Caenorhabditis elegans: one gene and its partners. The protein of the gene in region 1 interacts with the protein of each later gene in a pairwise test. Each region holds a gene or a part of one and is shown on either strand. Other genes may lie near its edges.

Evidence for each region.
Region 2: the proteins of pac-1 (region 1) and chc-1 interact in a two-hybrid assay, tested with the Caenorhabditis elegans proteins (one study listed by BioGRID).
Region 3: the proteins of pac-1 (region 1) and par-6 interact in binary tests that used the Caenorhabditis elegans proteins (3 or more experiments, as listed by UniProt).
Region 4: the proteins of pac-1 (region 1) and W03D8.2 interact in a two-hybrid assay, tested with the Caenorhabditis elegans proteins (one study listed by BioGRID).

Annotation. Positions count from the first base shown.
Region 1 is NC_003281.10:8,493,120-8,498,137, reverse strand, and holds the start of pac-1 (GTPase-activating protein pac-1), read right to left. Parts: upstream 3,029-5,018; coding exon 2,876-3,028; intron 2,041-2,875; coding exon 1,893-2,040; intron 1,082-1,892; coding exon 886-1,081; intron 510-885; coding exon 257-509; intron 204-256; coding exon 53-203; intron 1-52. UniProt on the Caenorhabditis elegans protein: GTPase-activating protein for members of the Rho subfamily including Rac1, RhoA and cdc42 and other Ras-related subfamilies including let-60.
Region 2 is NC_003281.10:10,201,961-10,209,845, forward strand, and holds chc-1 (putative clathrin heavy chain 1), read left to right. Parts: upstream 1-1,860; 5' UTR 1,861-1,911; coding exon 1,912-2,034; intron 2,035-2,081; coding exon 2,082-2,202; intron 2,203-2,253; coding exon 2,254-2,618; intron 2,619-2,664; coding exon 2,665-2,844; intron 2,845-2,952; coding exon 2,953-3,813; intron 3,814-3,857; coding exon 3,858-4,160; intron 4,161-4,207; coding exon 4,208-5,362; intron 5,363-5,408; coding exon 5,409-6,630; intron 6,631-6,682; coding exon 6,683-7,261; intron 7,262-7,309; coding exon 7,310-7,446; 3' UTR 7,447-7,744; downstream 7,745-7,885. Other genes in the region: dbd-12 (DB domain-containing protein), read left to right, coding at 1-86, 143-235, 282-400, 466-568. UniProt on the Caenorhabditis elegans protein: Clathrin is the major protein of the polyhedral coat of coated pits and vesicles. May play a role in yolk protein clatherin-mediated endocytosis by oocytes during oogenesis.
Region 3 is NC_003279.8:12,667,741-12,674,986, reverse strand, and holds par-6 (Partitioning defective protein 6), read right to left. Parts: upstream 5,608-7,246; 5' UTR 5,530-5,607; intron 5,362-5,529; coding exon 5,228-5,361; intron 4,696-5,227; coding exon 4,602-4,695; intron 3,672-4,601; coding exon 3,480-3,671; intron 2,733-3,479; exon of another isoform or gene 2,667-2,732; intron 2,631-2,666; coding exon 2,533-2,630; intron 2,464-2,532; coding exon 2,343-2,463; intron 2,293-2,342; coding exon 2,199-2,292; intron 1,139-2,198; coding exon 942-1,138; 3' UTR 540-941; downstream 1-539. Other genes in the region: T26E3.4 (RWD domain-containing protein), read right to left, coding at 6,253-6,309, 7,023-7,126. UniProt on the Caenorhabditis elegans protein: Necessary for apicobasal and anterior-posterior asymmetries associated with cell adhesion and gastrulation during the first few cell cycles of embryogenesis. Required for localizing/ maintaining par-3 at the cell periphery.
Region 4 is NC_003279.8:2,797,700-2,801,836, reverse strand, and holds W03D8.2 (Serine/threonine-protein phosphatase), read left to right. Parts: upstream 1-1,992; coding exon 1,993-2,010; intron 2,011-2,165; exon of another isoform or gene 2,166-2,228; intron 2,229-2,252; coding exon 2,253-2,864; intron 2,865-3,112; coding exon 3,113-3,310; intron 3,311-3,357; coding exon 3,358-3,624; downstream 3,625-4,137.

The DNA of each region.
Region 1 (5,018 bases):
ATACTAAATTTTGAAGTTCTAAAAGATCGCGTTAAATGAGAAGAATTTTACTTACTTTCTTTCAATGGATGCCTCTGCATTGCAGCCATAAAACTTGCTTGTCTAGGCGTGTTACGGGATAAAGCACTTCCAGATATTTTATCAGAGTCTTCATTATTCAATTGTTGATTCTCCGTATCCAATGATACTTTGGAAGTGGATATCTAAAAAAATTATAAAAAAATATAAAACGTGAAAATTATATGAGAAATCTCACATCATCACTAATAGGTGCAAGTCCAGCAGTTGGAGCATGACGCTGGGTAATCGGTACCGCCACAACTGATAATCCTCCAACGATCGGAGAGCTCGCTCCACTTCCATGTCTATTCTCCAAATCACGGAAATATGCAGCCGGTGAGAGTGCTCCGCGAGCTAATGGACGTGAACTTTTCAACCATCCTGCTTGCAATGATGGACGATGTTCCGAGTTTGTAACTTGCCAAGTTGACACCGAGCGACCAACATTTCTAAACGTAGAAATTATAATTTTTGTGAGAAGCTTAAAAATAATTTTTAAATAAGCGATAAAAGTGGGAAAAGTTTGTTTCAAATAGTGGTGCACATCAAGGATGTCGGTTTTCCAATTTGAATTTATTGTTAACTTTTTGATCATTATTTTCGATTTTTCGATTTTCCGGAAAATCGAAATGGTTTTGTTTTTCTTGCCGAAAAATATTAAAAAAAAAAAAATTTTATGAAAAAAAAAATGTTAGAATTTTAACAGAGAAAATAGGAATTCGCTCTTTCTTAAATCACAATTTTGTAGTGATTTTCTGATTGAAAATACGTTTCTTTTTTTGTATTTTAGGGATCACAACGACACAAGGCAGAATGAATACATACCCATATTCAGGTGGTTCTCTGCGAATTCCAGTTGTGGCAATTGTATTGGTTGATCCGTTTCCAGTTAATGGTGACGCTGTATTGCAATACAATTGATCATATTTGGGAAGAGTTGAAGAAGACGAAACAAGTTGACTTCCATACAGACGCGTTGGACGATGACGATCTTGCCAAGACCCGTAAATTGCATTTCGTGCTGAAAATTCTATTAAAAGATTAGAACATCCAATTTTCCTTTAATAACTTGTTCAGATGCAATATTTCTCAAATTTTTCTATAAAAACCGCAGCCGGTAACAAAGTGACAGACGTGTTATTTAGATTGAAAGAGTCTTTAAGGACTACTGTAGTTGGGCGGTAATTTGACAATTTTTTTAATTGCCAAAAAAATTTAAATTCTCAGAATGAAATATGAAAATCTCAGGATTCTTCTTTGGGCGCAAGGGTGTCGACTTTTCACAATCATCGAAAAAATTGATTTCTGATTTTAAGAAAAATCGAATAATTGCAGTTTTTTTTTTAAATTCAAACCGATATTTCAAAAAAAAATATTAAAAATAAAATTGTTCTTTTTTATTTACAAACAAAAAAACAAAAATTGATTTTAAAAATTGAATTTTATTGTTAATCTTCTAAACATTTTTTATTCGATTGTTCGTTTTTGATCGGCTCTGAAAAAAATTCGATGGCACCTTTGGTTAGTAAGGAAAAAAATTAAATTTCTTCGACAAAAAACACGTGTAGAAATTATGTTTTGCTGATTTTTTTCTTCAAGATTTTATGAATTTTAAAAAATATATGTTGACATATTTTTCAATAATTTTAAAGATTTACACTTATGAAACATTCGAAAATATCTCGCAACAAAAAATACTTGGGAACTACAGTACTCCTCAAAGGCGCACACTCGCTTGCTTTCAAGAACATCGGAAACTTTGAGACGGTGTACCGTATTTTTTTGGAGCGAAAATAGAAAAATTTTGCATCTGAGTAATAAATATTCCTTACCTGATGGAACTTGTGATGATACATCCACAATATTTGTCGTATTTGCTTTTCTTCTCAACTGTGGCTGATATTGCTGTTGATGTCCATTTGGTGGCATCGCTGACATTCTTGGACGCATCTCACCGAGCAATGCCGAGATTCGAGCATTCTGAAATTACAAATAATTTACTGTTCCAACGAAAAGAAAAAGAATACTAGAGAACGGGGCGGGACAATTGAAATTTATCAAGCTACCGTATTCCGTATTTATTTTTCACCAATTTCGGCTTTTCTCATCGTACAGCACATAAAATCGGATAAAAGAAAATGGGTAATCGGAAAGAAGCAGGAAAGCGCGGAGCCGATTTTATGAAAGATGCAAACGAGGAGAAAAGCCGTGATTCTGACTGCACTGAATCCAATTCTTTATGGCGAAAAAAGGAGAAAATGGTTAATCATTCTGCTTTTTCTACTACCAATTTTACTTAAATAGCTTTCAGAATAGAACGCTAATGGAATCAGGAATTTTTTTTCCATTTTCTGTTTCTTACATTTTACAGTTAATTCTACGAGTAGCGTCAGCTAAACGTCTGTAAAAAGTAAAATTGTCAGAATTAATTTAACAGAGCTCGAAATAGTTATTAGCATTTTTGGTAAATCTTTTTAATACGATATTCCAAACAAGGATGTCGTTTTTTCGATTCTTACTAAAATCGAAAAAATTTTTTTCTTATATCTCGAAAAATAGCTCAATATTTTGGTCATTTTCCCTTTGTTTTAAAGAAAATTGCATGATTTTTTTTAAATCAACATGCACAAAGTATTTTTTTTTTAATTTAATTTTATTGTTAATTTGCTACAAAAAATTGGAAAATTTTCGCTTTTTAATTTTCGATTTTTTTTCTAGATTTCTCGAACCTTGCTAATAATTATTTCAATTCTGTTGTATTTCTTTTCTCAACAAAAATATTTAATTTGAACAAAATGTAATTTATTCCACCAACCTGAGCTAAATCTTCGTTACTCTGCTGCTTAAGTTGATGCTCACTACGTGCTGCTCGAAGAGCCCAACTGCCGAATGCTCCGTCGACAATGTCTCCTCCTATCACCGACGCACGCTCCGCCTTGACATGGAGCCGTCGATGGTGCTCCTCCATCGAGCCGAAACTCTTCTTTCCTTGTTTCTTCTGTTGTTCGTTATGTTTGACGTGTTTGACGTCGTGTGCCGTCTGACGCACACTATTATTATCTGAAAATTGTATTTTTTGTTAGAAGAGAGTAATATAGAGTTTTGAGGAACAACAATTTTATAAGCAATAAATATTCTTGAGAAAGCAAAAGAAAAGCGATCCGAAAAGCATCGTCCAAAATTTTTGGAGGAAATGGAGAAAGTGTAGCAGAGGAATGGGAAACAAAGGAAATATATTATGCATGTTCACAAAGAAATGACCTCGGAGCAGTAGCAATTGAACCCAGAATCCAATTAGAAATATTTTCGTTCCATGATAAACCAAAAACATATATTTTTGAGCTTCTGATAATTCGAAGGTTTGTCTGGCGCGTTCTGACTACGAAAAGGTTACGGCAAGGAATCACGAAACTTTAATCATTATGCTACAAATTTCGATACAATCAAGGTTTTTCATATAATTTACTTTTGATCTACCTGCTGAAGTTCGAATGACGAGGTTGATCAAAAATAAATTGTTTGAACAAACTGTGATAGTATTTTCTTAATAATATTTTTCTACATTTTTATTTAAAAATACAATGAAAAAATTTTTAAACTAGACGATTTAGAGCAATCAATCCACTTTTATGAATTTTGAAAAGAATCTATTTGAGTAAATAGCAAAACGGTACGCTGTGAATACAAAATGCATTATAAATGTAAATGCTATAGCGATTTCACTTAGTTTGAAATTCAAATAATCCGTTGAGCATCAAAAAGTGCGTAGTTGAGGTGTACCGATATACCTTCATTGCAACGGCGTAAAATAACGACCAATAAAATTTGTGCAGGCGTGGGCTGGCACACATTATACGGCAGAGGTGAGGATGCAGATATTCTTCATGCTCAGCTCATAAAATTCAAATCAGGGCACTTCTAGGCTGGGATGCATATGCTTAAAAATTCACATTCGAGAAATTTAAAAGTATCATTATACAAAACCAATATGGAATTTGTCGAGGAAAATGAATGAAATGACAAGGAGGGAAATGAGGAGGGGGGAGAGGAAGAAGTTTTCAACAAAAAACTTGTTCCCACTTGGCAGGGAAATGGAAAGAGGATGAAAAAAAACGCGGACAAAAGCAGATGTTCGAAAAGAAAACAAAAGTAAATCCTCCTTTCTTTTTTTGTTTCTCCCTCATCATTGTCGATTGGCATCTTATAGTTTTACACCCGGATGTGCCATCCAGATGTAGATATTTAGAGAGATGATAGACGAAAGATTATTCAAAAAGTTTCAAATCTCGCACGGAAGATTCTCAGATCTTAATGAGTGGATCAAGAATGTCTCAGAATTTTCAGAACAAAACCAAATAAAATCATTTTATGACAATAATAGAAATGAATCTTGGGCGGATTGAAACTAATTTACAAAGCACATGAGCTGATATCGTAAATTTTGATAATGAGAGAATTCGAAGCGTTTTTCGAATTACAAATTATGGAGAATATTAGGAACCTTGAACGTTAAATGAAATAAGGAACGAGACTAACGACATCTAGAGGACAGCGATTCGATGAAAAGGACACAAGCCAGGTGCGCCAGTGAAGAAGGGGTGCGCGCGCGAAAACGAGGCAAACACGGACGGAAAGACTACGCGAGTTCACCTTGACACGCTTGTCATCATCATCGTGGCCCTCATCTCGTCCTCAGATTCTGATGAATGAGCGAATTATCTATGGTTGTCGTCGTCGTGTACCACACTAACAAGCATCAGTGCCCAACAGTATACTGTCTGTGAGTGAATGTGTGGCGGCAGTGGCGCCCGATTGCGAACGATAATTATTATGTAACCGATTGTGGCGACGATGGGGATGTCGGTAGTATTGTGACTGGTAAGTAGGAAAATAAGAGACTAAATTGGACCGATCAAAACGAAACTACCACATCGAAAATGACTAGGAACACTGCGATG
Region 2 (7,885 bases), 1.7 Mb from region 1:
ACTTGTTCCATGTATGCTGTGAGGAACGACAGTTGCCTCCCGCATGTGTTCAGAAATGCCATTTTAATGTTTATAACAAAGGAGTGGTAGGTTTAAATAGGTCAAGTTTATATTGTGAAATTGAATTTCAAAAATTGTATAGCTGGAATCAATGTTCTTTGGTTCAAGTGAATGCCCGATTGAATTCCTGCCAGAAATGCAATTTTGTGCGGCTCAAGGAAAAGATCATAGCCAGGTAAAAGGTCGTTGAAATCTGCTCAATAACTTCTTACTAGTTTCAGTGTTGCTCACAAAGTCAGGTGGATGCAACGACGGCTGGAAGTAAATGTCTAACCTTCTGCGATCAAACACCCGATCTCTACACTCCAATTGATTACAGCTATGCGCCTTGCCTAGACAGGTTTCCATATCTTTTTATCTTCCAATTCTCGAGGCAAAAGTCATGTTGAATTAAATTGGTTGCAGGTTCGAGGACATGAAACGATGCTTCTATGATAATGTGAAGTCGGATGCAATCACACATTTCGAGGCGAAAAAGAGTTTGCAGGATAAGAGTACATCTTATTAATTGTTTTTGATTTTATATTTACTTAACTTGAGATTTCGAAATAAAATGTGCGATTTCGCAATACCCATCACGACATACTTTGTATTTCATTTTCCATTAAAGCGGAACTATTACACATTTGCGAATTTCTGTGGCAATTGCATAAAAAAACCGGTACCGGGTCTCGACACGAAAGATTCTCTTAAATGCAAAAAGTGTGATCTTCGGTCCGTGGAGTACTGTAACTTCCAGCAGGGCTAATACAAGAGAATTTGAACAGAAAACAATACATAACATTTTTATTCAAAAATGCCAAAAAATTATAATACAATTCAATTTTGAAAACAGTTTTTCGTTGTATTTTGGACCAAAAAAATCGGTTTTTTTTTGCGCAACGTTGTTGGATTCTCAACGTGTTTTATCTCAGTTTTTCCTTGAATTTCGGTAAAACAGAACAAAAAATGAAATGTTCAAAAAAAGTGTTCCAAACTACAGTACTCCTTAAAGGCGCGCACACTTTTAAATCAAAGAAAATTGGTCGTGTCGAGACCCCGTACTGTATTTTTTGTGTAAAACTCGAAAAATTTCCGTGTATGAGTGATCTACTGATTGAAATTGAGAAAACAAAGTTTATCCGCAGATCAAATTTGTTTTTTTTTTCTTTTCAATATTTCACGGCAATCATTTCTTAATCCAAACACGTAATTCACTGTCGTAATTGCTGATGACTCATTCATTTCATACGAACGCTTTTCTTTTGTCAATCCTTCGGCCGTACAAACATAAATTTTTCCTTGTGAAATTAAAAACTCCGCCCAAAGCGAAGAAAATTCCCAGAAGAAATTCGGCGGAAAAGCGCGCTCTACCGAGAAGCGGGGCGCGTCGCGTCGCGTGCCCTGTGATGACAGGGCGACTTGTTCAAGCTTGGCAAACAGGAATCATTTCTCTCGATCAACTGGCTTCTGCATGTTTGACAAAGCTCTCTCTTGATAAGACATTTCCGTTCAATTGTTTTATTTTTACGTTTTCCCTCTTTTTAGGTGCGCTATGAGTCCTCAAAAATTTTTCTTTACTCAGCAAAGAGTTCTAACTTTTGGAATTACAATTTTTCCTTCATTTCAAATCATTCACAGTAATAACAGCGGCCAAAGCTAGCTTTAAAGCTGTATATTTTTCCATTTATTCCTTCAATCTACCGATATTCACTTCTATTTCCCGGAAATGTCTCACTTTTGTGATAAATTTTACGTGACTCATCTTTTTATTTTTATCGTGTTCTCTTTTCTTTTTTTTTCAAACATCTCCATTTGCAGGTATATAATTTATTGTAAGAAGTTTTTCCATTCTACACACAGTTTTCAAAGATGGCGCTCCCAATCAAATTTCACGAGCACCTGCAGCTTCCGAATGCTGGAATTCGGGTGCCCAACATTACATTCTCCAATGTCACAATGGAATCTGATAAGAACATTGTTGTTCGTGAGATGGTAGGTCAAATAATCGCAATTAACTGTTCTAAACGGATAATTTCCAGATTGGTGATCAACAACAGGTTGTGATTATTGATTTGGCCGACACAGCGAATCCAACTCGTCGTCCAATTTCTGCTGACTCAGTAATCATGCACCCAACTGCCAAAATTCTTGCTTTGAAATGTTAGTTTTCAGTACCATTTGACTCTGAAGCTTATTTATACCTTTTTTCAGCTGGCAAGACACTTCAAATTTTCAATATTGAGTTGAAAGCAAAAGTGAAAGCTCATCAGAATGTAGAAGATGTAGTTTATTGGAAGTGGATCAGTGAGAAAACGATTGCACTCGTTTCCGACACAGCCGTCTATCATTGGTCGATCGAGGGTGATGCAGCTCCAGTCAAGATGTTCGATAGACATCAGTCGTTGGCCGGAACTCAAATCATAAATTATCGCGCTGATGCCGAAAACAAGTGGCTCGTTCTTATTGGAATTTCCGCAAAAGACTCCCGTGTCGTTGGAAGTATGCAATTGTACAGTACCGAGAGAAAAGTATCGCAGCCAATCGAAGGCCATGCCGCTTGCTTCGTTCGATTCAAGGTAGGACTAATTCGATGATGGATTTGTCATATTAATAATGTTTTAGGTCGATGGAAACCAAAACCCATCTAACTTATTCTGTTTTTCCGTCAAAACCGATAATGGAGGAAAATTGCACGTTATTGAAGTAGGAACCCCAGCTGCTGGAAACACTCCTTTCCAAAAGAAGAATGTTGATGTTCCATATACCGCTGACACAGCTGGCGATTTTCCAGTGTCTATGCAGGTATGTTGCTTATAGTCGTATAAACAAAATTTGATATCTTTCTGATTGATTGTTTATAATTTCAAAAGCTGAATGGTGTTGTTTATAAAATAAATTGTTGGTTTTCAGGTATCTGCGAAGCAAGGAATTATTTACCTGGTAACAAAGCAAGGATATGTTCATCTTTATGATGTCGAGTCTGGAACACGGATTTATTCGAATCGAATTTCGACTGATACCGTATTTGTGACCTGTGAATACACAGCTACAGGAGGAATAATGGGAATTAACAGAAAGGGACAAGTTCTTTCCGTCTCTATCGATGAAGCTAACTTGGTTCCGTTCGTTACGAACCAGCTGCAAAATCCAGATTTGGCTTTGAAGTTGGCCGTGCGTTGTGATCTGCCTGGAGCTGAAGAGTTGTTCGTTCGCAAATTCAACTTGTTGTTCAGCAACGGACAGTTTGGAGAATCAGCCAAGGTTGCTGCATCGGCTCCACAAGGAATTTTGAGAACACCAGCCACCATTCAAAAGTTCCAGCAGTGCCCGTCTACTGGTCCAGGACCATCTCCACTTCTTCAATATTTCGGAATTCTTCTCGATCAAGGAAAGTTGAATAAATACGAAACACTCGAGCTGTGTCGTCCGGTCTTGGCACAAGGAAGAAAGGAGTTGATAACGAAGTGGCTCAATGATCAGAAGTTGGAGTGTTGTGAAGAATTGGGAGATCTCATTAAGCCGCACGATGTGAATACTGCTCTTTCAGTCTATTTGCGTGGAAATGTCCCGCACAAGGTTGTTCAATCTTTTGCTGAAACTGGACAATTCGACAAGATCGTAATGTATGCCAAGCGTGTCGGATTCCAACCAGACTATTTGTTCCAACTTCGTCAAATTCTCCGTAATTCGAATCCTGATCATGGAGCAAAATTCGCTCAACTTCTTGTCTCTGAGAGCGAAAACGGAGAACCACTTGCTGATCTTTCACAGGTAACGAATGAGAATAAGGATTTGGCTAATTTAAACCTTTTCAGATCATTGACTGTTTCATGGAGGTTCAAGCTGTTCAACCATGCACTTCATTCCTTCTCGAAGTTTTGAAGGGTGATAAGCCGGAGGAAGGACATCTGCAAACGAGACTTCTTGAAATGAATCTGCTCGCTGCCCCAGCTGTTGCCGATGCTATTCTAGCCAACAAGATGTTCTCTCACTACGATCGTGCCGCTATCGGACAACTCTGCGAAAAGGCTGGACTTCTTCAAAGAGCTCTCGAACACTTCACTGACCTCTACGACATTAAGCGAACTGTTGTTCACACCCATCTTCTCAAGCCTGATGTGAGTTTCTAATTAGATTTCTAAAATAAATGCTAATTTATTTTCAGTGGCTCGTTGGATATTTCGGAAGCCTTTCTGTTGAAGATTCGGTCGAATGCTTGAAAGCCATGCTCACTCAGAATATCCGACAGAACCTCCAAGTCGTTGTGCAGATTGCATCCAAGTATCATGAACAGCTCGGAGCTGACAAGCTGATTGAGATGTTCGAAAATCACAAGTCATACGAAGGTCTTTTCTACTTCCTTGGTTCGATTGTCAACTTCAGCCAGGACCCAGAAGTTCACTTCAAGTACATTCAAGCTGCCACGCGCACAGGGCAAATTAAAGAGGTTGAGCGTATCTGTAGAGAGTCGCAATGTTATGATGCCGAACGTGTCAAGAATTTCCTTAAGGAAGCCAAGCTCAACGATCAACTTCCTTTGATCATTGTCTGCGATCGTCATAACATGGTTCATGATCTTGTTCTTTACCTGTACAGAAACCAGCTCCAGAAGTACATTGAAGTCTTTGTTCAAAAGGTTAATGCCGCCCGTCTTCCGATCGTTGTTGGTGCTCTTCTAGATGTTGATTGTAGTGAAGATGCTATCAAACAATTGATCATTAACACTCGTGGAAAGTTTGACATTGATGAGCTTGTCGAGGAAGTTGAGAAACGCAATCGTTTGAAGCTTTTGAATCACTGGCTTGAATCGAAAATCCAGGAGGGAGCGACTGATGCTGCTACCCACAATGCGATGGCCAAGATTTACATAGATTCTAACAACAATCCCGAACGATTCTTGAAGGAAAATCCCTACTACGATAGCAAAGTTGTTGGAAAGTACTGCGAAAAGCGTGATCCTCACTACGCCTTCTTGTCATACGAACGCGGACAGTGCGACGCTGAATTGATCAACGTGTGCAACGAGAATTCACTATTCAAGAATCTTGCAAGATATTTGGTGAAGAGAAGAGACTTCACTCTGTGGGAGCAAGTTCTCAACGAAGAGAATGTTCATCGTAGACAGCTGATAGATCAAGTGGTTCAAACTGCTCTTTCCGAAACTCAAGATCCCGAAGACATCTCTGTGACTGTTAAGGCATTCATGGCTGCCGATTTGCCGAACGAACTTATTGAACTTTTGGAAAAGATTGTTCTCGATAACTCTGCATTCTCGGAGCACCGTAATCTTCAAAATCTGCTCATTTTGACTGCAATGAGAGTAAGTTAATTATTTTAGAAAACATATTCGATCAATCCACTTTCAGGCCGATAGAACTCGTGTGATGGAGTACATTCAAAAGCTTGACAACTATGATGCTCCAGATATTGCTAACATTGCTATAACTTCTGAACTCTACGAAGAAGCGTTTGCCATTTTCAAGAAATTCGATGTGAACTCAAGTGCCATCAATGTTCTTATCGAGAACGTGAACAATTTGGATCGTGCTTACGAATTTGCTGAAAAGTGCAACCAGTCAGATGTCTGGGCATCTTTAGCCAAGGCACAGCTCCAACAAAATTTGGTGAAGGAGGCTGTCGATTCGTTTATCAAGGCCGATGATCCAGGAGCGTACATGGAGGTTGTGAACAAATGTTCTCAAACGGAGCACTGGGAAGATCTTGTTCGTTACCTTCAAATGGCTCGCAAGAAGAGTCGTGAGTCATACATCGAAACGGAACTCGTTTTTGCTCTGGCCAAGACTGGTCGTCTCACTGAACTTGAAGAGTTTATCGCTGGACCAAATCACGCTCAAATCGGACAAATTGGAGATCGTTGCTTTGACAATGGAATGTTCGATTCCGCTAAGATCCTTTTCAACAATGTTTCCAACTTCGCCAAACTTTCCGTTACTCTTGTTCGTCTTGGAGAATATCAAGGAGCTGTCGATGCTGCACGCAAAGCCAACAGCACGAAGACATGGAAACAAGTGTGCTTCTCTTGTGTCGAGAATGGAGAGTTCCGGCTTGCCCAGATGTGTGGACTTCACATCGTTGTCCACGCTGATGAGCTTGAGGAATTGATCAACTTCTACCAAGATCGTGGACATTTCGAAGAGCTCATTGCTCTTCTCGAAGCTGCATTGGGTCTTGAACGGGCTCACATGGGAATGTTCACCGAACTCGCGATTTTGTACTCGAAGTATAAGCCAGAGAAGATGCGTGAGCATTTGGAATTGTTCTGGAGCCGTGTTAATATTCCAAAAGTTCTTCGTGCTGCCGAGCAGGCTCATCTTTGGTCCGAGTTGGTGTTCTTGTACGATAAATACGAAGAATATGATAACGCCGCACTGACAATGATGCAGCATCCAACTGAATCTTGGAGAGAGCAACATTTCAAGGAAGTCATCGCTAAAGTCGCTAATGTTGAGCTATACTACAAAGCAATGCAGTTCTACCTGGATTATAAGCCACTTCTCCTGAATGACCTTCTTACTGTGCTATCGCCTCGGTTGGATCATTCGCGCACAGTTTTGTTCTTCAATAAGCGTAAGTTTAAATTTCGTTTAGTTTTTAAACTTTTAATAACAATAATTTTCAGTGAAGCAAATCCCACTGGTCAAGCCTTACTTGAGACAAGTTCAAAACTTGAACAACAAGGCTATCAACGAGGCTTTGAATCAGTTGCTCATTGATGAGGAGGATCACGCCGGGCTTCGTTCTTCTATTGAGGCTCAAGACAACTTTGACAATATCACTTTGGCCCAACAACTTGAGAAGCACCCACTTGTGGAATTCAGAAGAATTTCCGCATACTTGTTCAAGGGAAACAACAGATGGAAGCAATCGATCGAGCTTTGCAAAAAAGACAAGCTGTACAAGGATGCCATGGAATACGCTGCAGAATCGAGAAACGGAGAACTCGCCGAAGAGCTCTTGTCATTCTTCCTGGATGAGAAACTTTATGATTGTTTTGCCGCCTCCCTTTACCATTGTTATGATCTCCTTCACCCCGATGTCATCATGGAGCTCGCTTGGAAGCATAAGATTATGGATTACGCCATGCCTTACATGATCCAAGTTATGAGAGATTATCAGACGAGACTTGAGAAGTTGGAGCGTTCTGAGCATGAGAGGAAAGAGGAGAAGGCTGAGCAGCAACAAAACAATGGAATGACCAGTGAGTTTTAACAAATATTTAGAATTTAAATTTATTTGATATTTTCAGTGGAACCACAACTTATGCTTACCTATGGTGCCCCTGCCCCACAAATGACTTATCCAGGAACAACTGGTGGCTATGGCGGACAGCCTGCTTACGGTCAACCTGGACAACCAGGATATAATGCCCCTGGATTTATGTAATTCGATAGTTTTATCCCCATTTTCTTACCCCCACCCCCTCACTTTCTCCCCGCATCAATAATTATATTGTAATTTATTGCTTGATGTCTATACACTTTTTTTGTTTAAATTATGATATTCTATTTCTATTTATTCCGTCCCCTATGAAATTGTGATGGTTGTATTCTAATCCGTGAACTTATCCTTAAGGTTGTTGGTCCGATGTGTCGTCTCTCTCAGTTCTGCCCGTTTTCAAAAAAAAGTTGATCACAACTCTTTTAAACCACCAGAACCATCATGAATAAATTAATTCGTTGTTACCAATCGCGTTCGAGTTTCGGATGAAATACTGGTTCAGTCCATCATCATAACATTTTAGTTTTACGATTTTAACTTTTTGTATTATTCACTAGCTGAATTTTTTAAATTGAGATCTAGAATAAGCCATTTTCAGGCCGTA
Region 3 (7,246 bases), on another chromosome or scaffold:
GTAGGAAATCAACTGAAACTTCAGATTTGCACAGATTTTATAACATTAAATCATCAAAAAATCACTCAAAGGTAACATTTTATTACAGACTTTTCATTACTGGGCACTTTTCAAAAATGCTGTACAAATGGCGCAGTGGGATTTTCGACGAAAAAGCTTCCAGTCAAAGGACCGTGGTTCGAGTCTCCACTGTGGCAAACTTTTTTCCATAGTGTTGTTAGGCTAAACTTTCAATTCTCAACCCAAAAATTATAATATCAATTCCTAAACAGCAGAGAAAAACCTTGAAAAATAAGAATTTGAGAATAATCAGCGGAATATCGGCTGAAAATGTAGATTTTCTCAGTTTTTAAAGCCTTAAATCGTCAAGAACTCAATAAAATTCAAATTTACCCGAAATTATGTCATTTCTGGGAAATTGTCAAAAATGTCCAAATGGAGCAGTGGGATTTTCGACGAAAAAGCTTCCAGTCAAAAGGCCATGGTTCGAGTCCCCGTAATGGCAACATTTTTTTCACAATGCTGATCTCTCAAAGCTTGAAATAAATAATTTATTCTCACTAATAATGTGAATTTCAGGGGAAAAATTGTATGTCGTGTCTGTTGTCAAAAAATTTGAGCCAAAGTTCGAAAAAAAAAGTATGGGCTCAGAGAGCTCTGAAGGGGAAAAATCACATAAAAAGGGCGAAAGGAAGGCACATTTTGGGGCGAGAAACGGGGGAAATAAAAGTGAAAATTGTGCGCAAAAAAGTGAAGAGAAAGCCGACAAATTTGATTAAAAATTAGGAGAAAAAGGGGAAAATAAATAAATTAAGCGGTTTTGGTTGTGTGTGTGTGTGGTTTTAGCGAGAATATAAATAATATAATTATGTATAAAAATGGTCACATTTTGTGGTTTTTTTTTCTGAAAAAATCGAGGAAAAATGGCTGAAAAGAGTTTTTCAGTCCTCTCCACTGTCCGAATCATTTGCGTCGTGCTGTTTCGGATGATAACTGCCGTCGGAGCTTCCGTTCATTTTCATCGGGCGCTGAATTCCACCTGTAGCGGCTGCGGTGGCGGCCGACATCTCACTGGCGTTCGGTGTTCCTTGTTGTGACGGTCCTCGTGACAGTGTGTTTCGTTGGTTGGCAGGTTTTACTGGAAAATATTGGGATTTTTTGAATTTTCAAAAAAAAAATAAATTTGAAATTTTTTTTTCGAAAAAAAATTTCTGAAAATTTTGTTTTTTATAATTACTACAGAATTTAAAATCAGCTCGCTGAGAGCTTCCAAACAAGTATAATCATGACTAGGCTATGTTTATTTTGAACATTTTCCGAAATTTTGGGTCCCGCCACGAAAACTGGGTTACTGTAGGTTGGGATTTTAGTGGGGGACCCAGTTTTCGCGATTTCATTTAGATTTTTCGATTTCAGCTTACCGAGCTTTCAAATAAGTATAATTATGACTAGGTTGGCGGACATTTAAAATTTTCCAAAATGTTGGGTCCCACCGCGAAAGCCAATTTCGTGGTCGTGCCCCAAAATTGAAATTTTAGATTTTTGTTAAATAATTCAACTTCCGCTCGCCTAGAGCTTTAAAATAAACATAATCAAGACTAGGTTATGCGAAATTTTAAATTTTCGGACCCCACCACGAAAACTGGGTTACTGTAGGCAGCGATTTTCGTGGTGATACCCAATTTTCGCTATTTCAATTAGATTTTTCGATTTCATCTTACCAAGAGCTTCAAAACTAGTATAATAATGACTAGGTTTGGCGAAAATCTAATTTTTTCCAAAATTTTGGGTCTCATCGCGAAAATCAGTTTCGTGGTCGGGCCCAAAAATTGAAACTTCTCAAATTTTTTAGTAAATTCGTTTTCAGCTCATCAAGGGCTTTCAAATAAGTATAAACACGACAAGATTGCGTCACATGCGAAAATTTTGGGTCCCATCGCGAAAATGGGTTACTGTAGTTTATCATTTTCTTGGCGAGACCCGAATTTTCCAAGTTTGACAGAATATAGCCATGATTATACGCATTTGAAAGCTCTCGGTGTGCTGAATTCAAATTTTCTAATGAAATTTTTTAAAAAGTGGGTTCTCGCAATTTTCGCGGTGAGACCCAATTTTTTTCAAAATAATCTTAACCTAGTCATGATTATACTTATTTCAAAGCTCTCGGCGTGCTGAATTCAAATTTCCGGATTATATACCAGTAATAATCAAGTTATGAGCATTGGCGACCATCATATCAGTGACCTGATCCAGCGTCTTTCCGAGAACCTCAATTCCATTCACCTCGAGCACCTGAAAACCGGAATTTTTAGATTAAAAACTCTGAAAATTCCATTAAAAACCTCGTCATTAACACCAAGAAGGCCTGTGGACTCGGCGAGCCCACCATCGACAAGCCGGGAAATGAAAATTCCTGAAACTTTGACGACGCCTCGTTCTGTCACTCGAACCGATGTTCCGTCACTGAAAAAAGAATTGCAGATTTTTGGGATTTTCTGGCAAGAAATCTGAAATTTCCAGAAAAATCGATACCGAATATAGAATCCAAGTGGTCGTTCTTGTCCGTGCTTGCAGAGACGGACACGGCGATGAGCTTCTGGCACAATGTCCACGTCGATGATTGCAGAGACCTGCAAAATTGAAAATTTTTAAAAATTAATGGGAAATTTGAATTCAGCTCGTTAAGGGCTTCAAAATAAGTATAATCATGACTAGGTTTTGCCAATTTTGAAAATTCTCCTAAAATTTGGGTCCCGCCACGAAAAGTGACGAAATTTTAGAAAATTACTGCGAAATCTGAATTCAGCTCACTGGGAGCTTTCAAACAAGTATAATGGAATGACTAGGTTCCGCGAACTTTGAAAATTGTTGGTCTCGCCACGAAAATGGGATTACTGTATGTTGGCATTTTCGTGGTGGTGGGATCCAATTTTTGAGATTTTTATCAATATTTTTGAATTGGGAGCACTGTCAGCTTTAAAACTAGTATAATCATGGGTTCCGTTAACTTTGAAATATGCGGGTCCCACCGCGAAATTGGGGTTACTGTAGGTTGGCACTTTCGTGGCGGGACCAGATTTTTGCAATTTCATGAGTTCAACCGAATTCAGCTCACCGAGAGCTTTCAAATAAGTATAATCATGACTGGGCTCCGGAAAATTTGAAGATTTCCAAAATTTTGGGTCCCGCAGCGAAAATTTCCTTCGTGGTGGGACCAAAAATTGAAATTTTCAAAATTTTTTCCGGAATTTGAATTCAACTCATCAATAGCTTTCAAATAAGTATAATCATGACTAGGTTCTGCGAAATTTGAAATTTTTGGGTCCCATCACGAAACGGGATTACTGTGGTTTCGATTTTTCGTGGCGAGACCCAACTTTTTTCAAATCCATCGTAACCCGGTCATGATTATACTTATTTCGAAGCTCTCAGCGAGCTGAATTCAAAAATTCCACTTTTTTCGCTGTGAGACCCATTACCTGTCGAAAATCTTCGGGATTCGAGATTGAATAACTGCGTTTCGGTGGTTTTTGTGCCATAAGTGATGAAATTCCCTTCCATCGTTTATCAGAGTCTGTACCATAACCATATTTCTCTTCCCATGATTCACCGCGGCGTTGAATGAGCAAACGGAGCAGTGGGCGAGCCGATTCGAACGATTTTCGGAGGTTCTGCAAAAAAAATAATGGTAGTTTTGGGATTTTATCGATTTTTGGGATTTTTCTAGGAATTTATCGATTCTTTTTGTGATTTTTATTGATTTTTTGGGGATTTTTTACCGAATTTTTGTGATTTTTCAACAGATTTTTATCGATTTTTTATCGATTTTTTCCGATTTCTTGGGGTTTTGTATTGATTTTTTAAAGCGATTTTTGAGTTTTTTTGTAATTTTTTATCGATTCTTTTTGTGATTTTTATTGATTTTTTGGGGATTTTTCACCGAATTTTTGTGATTTTTGTTTCAATTTTTTGAGACTTTTTTCGATTTTTTTAAATCAATTTTTTGTAGTTTAGGACTTTTTATCGATTTTTTAAGATGTTTAGTGATTTTTTAGCGAAATTTTGTGATTTTTATCGATAAGTGATGTTTTAGTAATTTTCAGCATTTTTTAGTGAAAAATATCAATTTTAGGTCATTTTTACTCGATTTTTCTCGATTTTTTCACCGAAAAAATCAATTTTCTTCAGTTTTCCCTACTAACATTCAGATTTTTATAGACTTTTTATCGATTTTTATCGATTTTTTTTTGAGATTTTTATCGATTTTTTGAGTTTTTAAATCAATTTTTAATTGATTTTTTGTGATTTTTTTCGACTTTTCTGTGAGTTTTCAAATCGATCGATTTTTTGTCCTCGTAGGAGACACCCGAATATTAAATCGATTTTTTTATTATTATTATTTTTATTTTTTAACGATTTTTGAGCTGTTTTAAAAATCGATTTTGACTAACTTTAAGCTGAAAAAATCAATTTTCGAGACATTTTAATTGAATTTTTAGCATTTTTTAGTGAAAAATATCAATTTTATGTCATTTTTACTCGATTTTTTCGTTTTTTTTTTCACTGAAAAAATCAATTTTCTTCAGTTTTCCGCTACTAACATCGTCATTTGTGATTGGTAGAAGATCACCGCCAGTCGAGTTGTAGCACAGTGTGAATTGGACACTTTCCAGGTGATGAAGCTTCTCGACAAGGCTGAAAATATCGATTTTTACTTGAAAAATTGAACTTTTACGGGAAAATTGCTTCAAAAATCGAGTTTTCAGGTAAAATATCATTTTCCGCTCGTTTTTGGTAAAAAAAAACACAAAAAAAAAGACGAATTTTTCGATTTTCCGGCTGAAAATGGCGAAAATTCGATTTACGCATGATTTTAGCCCTAAAAATGCCGATTTTGGCCAAGTTTGGTTTGGAAAATAGATTTTTTAGGGTTTTCAAGGTAAAAATCGGAAAAAATCTGATTTTTTCAAGTAAAAAAAATCATTTTCCGCGTATTTTAGGACAAAAAACGCCGAATCCTTGGATTTTTCAGCTGAAAATCGTTGAAAATCCGATTTTCTGAATTTTAAGGGATTTTATGCCTAAAAATGACAATTTCAGTAACTTTTGGGTAGAGAAATCAATTTTTAACGTTTTTCTACGTCAAAAACATGGGTTTTGACGTATTTTAGGTAAAAAAAAAACGCTGAATTTTTCGATTTTTCGGCTAAAAATGGCCAAAAATCACCTCCGGAACCCATCGTAAGAGACACCAGACGCAGAATGCATTGGTATTGAGAAACGACGCCATTCAGAATCAAATTTCGATTTGACTTGAAGTGTTGAATGATGATTTTGATGGTAGGAGCCGTTGTAGGACATCTGAAAATTTGGATTTTTCGGGTTTTTTGAGCTGAAAAACGCGATTTTTAACAGTTTTCAGCTGGAAAATTGGAAATTCCGGCTTTTTTTGAGTAGAAAAATCGCATTTTTCGACGTTTTCCATACTTTTAAGCTGAAAAATTATGATTTTCGCAAATTAAAACTCACAATTACAAGTTACAGGTGCAGCTCCGCGTTGAGCCGGAAATAATGCACAATTTTCGTGGGAAATATCGATTTTTTCGGCTGAAAATTGGATTTTTTCACATTTTTGAACCTTTTTTAAGTGAAAAAATTATTAAGTGAATAATTTTTGAATTTATTAATCAAAAATCGGATTTTAAATAATTATTCAATGGAAAAAATTGAATTTTAATTTAAAAGTTAGAGTTTTGAACAGTTTTCAACGGAAAAAAAAACTGAATTTGAGTTGGAAAATAGACATTTTTAGGAAATTTGAGTAGAAAAATTGAATAAAAATTCCAAAAAATGGCAATTTTGAACATTTTTCTAGCGGAAAATGAAATTTCAAGCTAAAAATCGCATTTTTTGCGATTTTTACAAAAAAAACCTTCAAAACACCAAATTTCCGCTGAAAATTGAGTAAAAATGAGTCACAAAACTCTCCAAAAAAGTTTGATAAAAACTGATGACTCATCGCCAAAAATTTTCAATAAAAAATCGATAAAAAAGCTGATAAAAACAGCGAAAAATTCAAAAAAAAAGGTTAAAACTAAAACAAATCTTTACGCAAAAAAATGGAAAAAATTGAAACGAAAAACCGTGAAAATCAACAAAAACTGGGGGGCAAAAAAATGGATAAATTACGGGATTTTTCGCCGAAAAAATGGCGAAAAATCACAGAAAAATGCAATAAATTGAGGGGAAATCCTATTCTTCATCGTCTTCTTCTTCTTCTTCGGAATCCATTTCAAGACCTTCGAGTTCCTGGAAAAAATGGGTTTTTTTGAGTGGAAATTTGAGATTTTTTGGGGTTTTTTAGGCTAAAAAATGGGATTTTTGGAGGTTTTTTATGTTGAAAATCGGAAAATTTGATCATTTTAGGCAGTAAAATCGAATTTTCATCTTGAAATTAATCAATTTTATGAGAAAAACTCGAAATTTCGAACAATTTTTGGAATAAAATTGCAATTTTTCGCGTTTTCAAGTAGCTTTTCACTGAAAAATGTGGGAATTTTGGCGTTTTTTCCATAGAAAATCGGAATTTTAGTGAGAAAATTTCAATTTTTTGATAGAAAATATGAAGTTTATCACAAAAAATTCACTTTTAAAGTGGAAAATCGTGAATTTTCAGCCAAAAATGCCAAATTTTGTAAATTTTGAAGCTTTTTCTTCGGAAAAATCCAGATTTTTTGCATTTTTTTTAGCTCAAAAACAGAGTTTTCCATGGAAAAATAAATTTTGAGTAAAAAATGTCTAATTTTTCAGTGAAAAAATGGGGATTTTAGCGAATTTTTACATTTTTCCAGGTTTTAAAAGGGAACGTTTCAAAAAAGAAAAAAAAATTTTCGGATTTTCACCGAAAAAAACTCGAAAATCGACAATTTCCAATGAATTTGCATGTTTTTCATGCAATTTTTTAATAGAAAATCGTAAATTTTCAGTAAAAAATCGATTTTTCAGTGGTTTTTTCCAGAAACCTCATTATCAAAGAGGCTCTCATCAATTTCGACTTCATCTTGTGCTCCAATAAGTGTGACGTCAGAGAGATTGAGTGTAGCGTCACGAAGGAATAGTTGACGTCCTGGAAAATATTGGTTTTTTTTGAAATTTTCAGCGATTTTCAGACGGAAAATCACATTTTTTGTGAGATTTGGAGCCAGAAAATGGGATTTAAATGAATTTTTCGCCTGAAAAAGTTCAA
Region 4 (4,137 bases), on another chromosome or scaffold:
GAATTTTAAGAAAGTTTTAAAATATAAATCCAGAATATTCATAATCTACATTTTACAGTTAGCCTTTGATTAAGCACAGAAGTACATGCCTAGTAGGTAGGTAGGCAGGCAGGCATAATGTAGGGACGTACTCATATGCCTATCATGGGAACCACAGCGTAAAATTTTCAGGATTAAAAAAAAATTCTGAAAACCGGATTCCGGAAAGACATTTTCTACATTTTTAAAACAATTTACATTTTTTTTTTTTGCATTACAAATTCAAAATTAAGTCAAAAAATTGGAGTAAATCACTATAATGCAAATGTGCTCCACTAAAAACCATGGCCGCGGAAAGGAGAACACTCTGCCAGGCTCCAAAAAAAACCGAAAAATTTATTAATTTTGGAAGACGAGTTTCAAATAGATCTGTGACAAAAATACAATGTTTTTGAAAAACTCGGCTACGGAAACAAACATGAATATATTTGAATATTTAACCTAGGAACTCATGGCCTAGAAATTTAAAAACTCTTCCACCATGTGATGTAACTATACCAAGTAAATTTCTTAACCGGTAATTCGACACCATTAGTATTTTTTTCGATAATTTAGTTGATTTATTTAAAACAGTTCTAATGTTTTTTTTTAATTTAAAAAAAGTTGTGCTACTATTTTATGCTCCACCAATAAGCGTGCCCGCGCAAAATAGAAAACTCGGCCACCATTTTTTTTTCTAGGCTACGGTGGCAACAATCTGGCCTAGAAATTCAAAGAAAAACTCTTCCACCATAGAAAGTAACAAGATCAGATGACAGGAAAGGAACTGTGTTTATGAGTCAGATCTCTGTGTAAAAGGAGACAGCAGTGAAGAGGTTCCGGAGAGTAAAAGTGGAGAAGCATACACAGACCATATATGCCTGTGTGCATCATACTGATAAGACTTTTATTTTCTCTGCGTGTCTTTGCCCTCTCTCCCTCTCTAACCTTAAAAATTCGAAAAGTGTATGAAGAGGCGACCCATGTTTGTTTTCTTCTTCTTTTCACCTCATCCCAAATTGGCTGCTGAATCATTCAAATGGAAATCGGAAAGTGATACATATAGGAGGGAGGTCAAGTAGACTCCTTTTTTGTGAGTACACATAATTATGAATGGCATGGTTATTACGTACAAAATGTTATGTTTCGAAACGTTTCGGAATGAAGAGAGGTCTGTCTGGCAGGTGAAAAGGGCAGCAGCGTCATGGTATTACCGGGATACGGGTGATGCGAGGTGCGGTAAGAAGGTTTTAGGATAGGCATAATAGTTGACTACTTAGGTACCTACAAGGTGAACGTATCTTTTTTCAAAAAATTTTGCCATGTGAGAAAATATTGTGATTTAAAAAAAGTTTGAACTTCAGAATAGATAAAATATCTTGTGGTACGAAATTTGTAGGCACCTAGGCCTCTACTTGCCTTCAAGGTGACCTACAATCAATGTACCAAAATGCAGAAAAAAGGCGGTAGGCAGGTAGTATTGAGGCAGGCGAAAAAGTTAATTTATTTCATTAAATTCTTTTTTGTCTGAAAGATTTTTGATGAAATTTGAAGGCGCCTGCCTTGCGAAAGCCAGAACCCAAAACGGTAGGCAGGTCCAAAAAGTAGGCTTGTACCCCTGAACCTGCCTTCAGTGTGCCTACACATACGGCAAGAGTCAGGGCAGTCGGCAGTTACACGTGCTTACTATTTTTTACAGTAAACCTTCCTTTTGTAGACGCAGATGTACCTGCCTACCTTGTGCCTAGACCTGATGTCAAAGTACCAGACGGTAGGCACACACGTTCGCCTAAACCTGTTTATTAGGGCCAAAATTTCTTTAAAATCACAATTTTTACGTGAAACTTTTATTTTTTTTAAACATTGCCAACACTTTCTTATCTCATGTAGAATCTCGTTATTGATTCTGGAGAAAGAAAAACAATTTATTTTGCAATTTTACCGATATAACAAAGGCAATTCAAACAAAACAAAATGACTTCTTCGAATGAGGTAAGTAATGTTTTGGGCCTACCTGCTTGAAGGTCTACAAGCCTGCTTACAAGCCTTGTGCGGCGAGTCGGCGCCTTACTTGCCTACTTTCGCAAGCCATTAAAATGCAAAAAATAGGCGGCAGGCGGGAACATAGGCAGGGAACCAGAGACTTGAGCCTAAGCCTAGGCTATGCCTAAGCACAAGCCTAAGCCTAAGCCTGAGATCAAGCCTAAGCCCGAATCTAATATTAACATTTTCAGAAACTTCCAAAAATCAACCATGACAACGAAGTTTTCGCGTTGCTGTACAAGATATTGTCATCCGAAGTTCAGACTATAAAAGGAGAAGACAATGAGAAAGTCAATCAACTGAGAGTGGACATTACCATCTCAGAAATCTCGCAGCTCACCGACAAGATGAAAAAAGCGTTTTTGGAGCAGCCAGCTCTCCTGGAAATTAGCAATGAGCCAATCACAGTGGTCGCCGATATGCACGGCCAATCGATTCACCTGCTCCGAATCTTCCTGACAAATGAGGCTCCCCCGAATCAAAAGTACTTGTTCCTCGGGGACTACGTGGACCGTGGATCACAAAGTGTGGTGGTGATGTGTCTTCTGTTCTGCATGAAACATCGCTATCCTCAGCATGTTTTCTTGCTGCGTGGCAATCATGAAGACGTCAATACTACGCTGAACTACGGATTCTATGATGAATGCCTGGAGCAGTGGAAGAACGATGAAGGAGAGAAAGTGTGGAGAATGTTCATTGATACTTTCAATTGTATGCCGTTGGCGGCGGTTATTGGAGGGAAGGTGTTCTGTGCACATGGTGGAATTTCGCCTTGGCTGGAAAGTTTGGAGGATATTAATTCGGTAAGGAAAATTTTTAGCCAATTACTATAATTTCGGATCCTAAATTGGATCCCTCGCCATTTGATCTGCAAAAATTGCGGGAAATTAATTGTTACATGGTGTGACGTCACCGGCGTCGTGTAGTATAGTTTTCCCGCGATTTCTGTAGATCATTGACGCATCATTTTTCAATGGAAGAAAAATCGCCGCAAATTTCCAGAAAATCCAATTAACTTTGAAATATGTTGATAAAAAATCTTGATTTTCAGATCGAGCGTCCCTTGGTGGTCCCACCGTACGGCCTAGCGTGCGATCTTCTCTGGTCGGACCCGGCTCAGCCGGAACGCAACGGCTGGGGCCTCAGTCACCGTGGAATTTCATTCACTTATGGCAAAAGTGTTGTCGAAGAGTTTTGTGCGAAAAATGACATTGCTCTGGTGATTCGGGGACATCAACTGTTTAAGGAGGTAAGCTGGAGTGACTGAAGCCTTTGATAACTGAGTGTCGTTTGCAGATGTACCCGCAAGGATGTGTGCTTCGTTTCGGCGGTCGCCTGATCTCCCTGTTCTCCGCACTGAACTACGAAGGACACAAGAACAATAGCTCCGTGCTCAAGCTTGAATTCGTCGGACAGCGTGTGAAGGTTAAGCAGGTTCTGTACAGATGCCGACACTACGCACCGCTCCGTTCTAATGAGTACTTGGGATTTCGCGATATGAAGTCGTCATCTGGGAAGAATGAAAAGAGAAAGAAAGGAAGATTGGAGAGTCTTTTGGGATAGTGAACTTGATTGATTGAGAATAAAGTTTTTGAGATTTTTTTTTGTATTTTTTGAGGCTCTAATTGTATTGGAAACAGTTTACCCCAAAAAGTTTTTAGTGGCCGACATCTTACGTGTTCATTTTTGGAGTTGAATTTAAAACTTCGATAAAAAAGGCGAACCCACACCAACTCGGGATTTGGCTCTAACTTCTTGGCCCAAAAAATATTAACTTGGATGAGAAGTCGGCTGAACTTGTGCAAAAGTTGGACAATAATTCTGCAAAACTTGGATTCAGGCAGCACCAAAGTTTAACTCAAGTTTCATCCAACTCTTGCCAAACCCAAACTTTTTTTGTTTTGTTCCAAACTTGGGTAGAAGTTTGGCAAGAGTTGGGTGAAACTTGGGTGACACTTTGGTGCAACCTCAATCTTTTCCTAAGTTTAGACCAACTTCTGTATTTGCATAATTATGATCTTAAGTCACTGTTTTCCCACTTTTGAAAACAAAAAGTTAGTGTCGGACAACATGGCA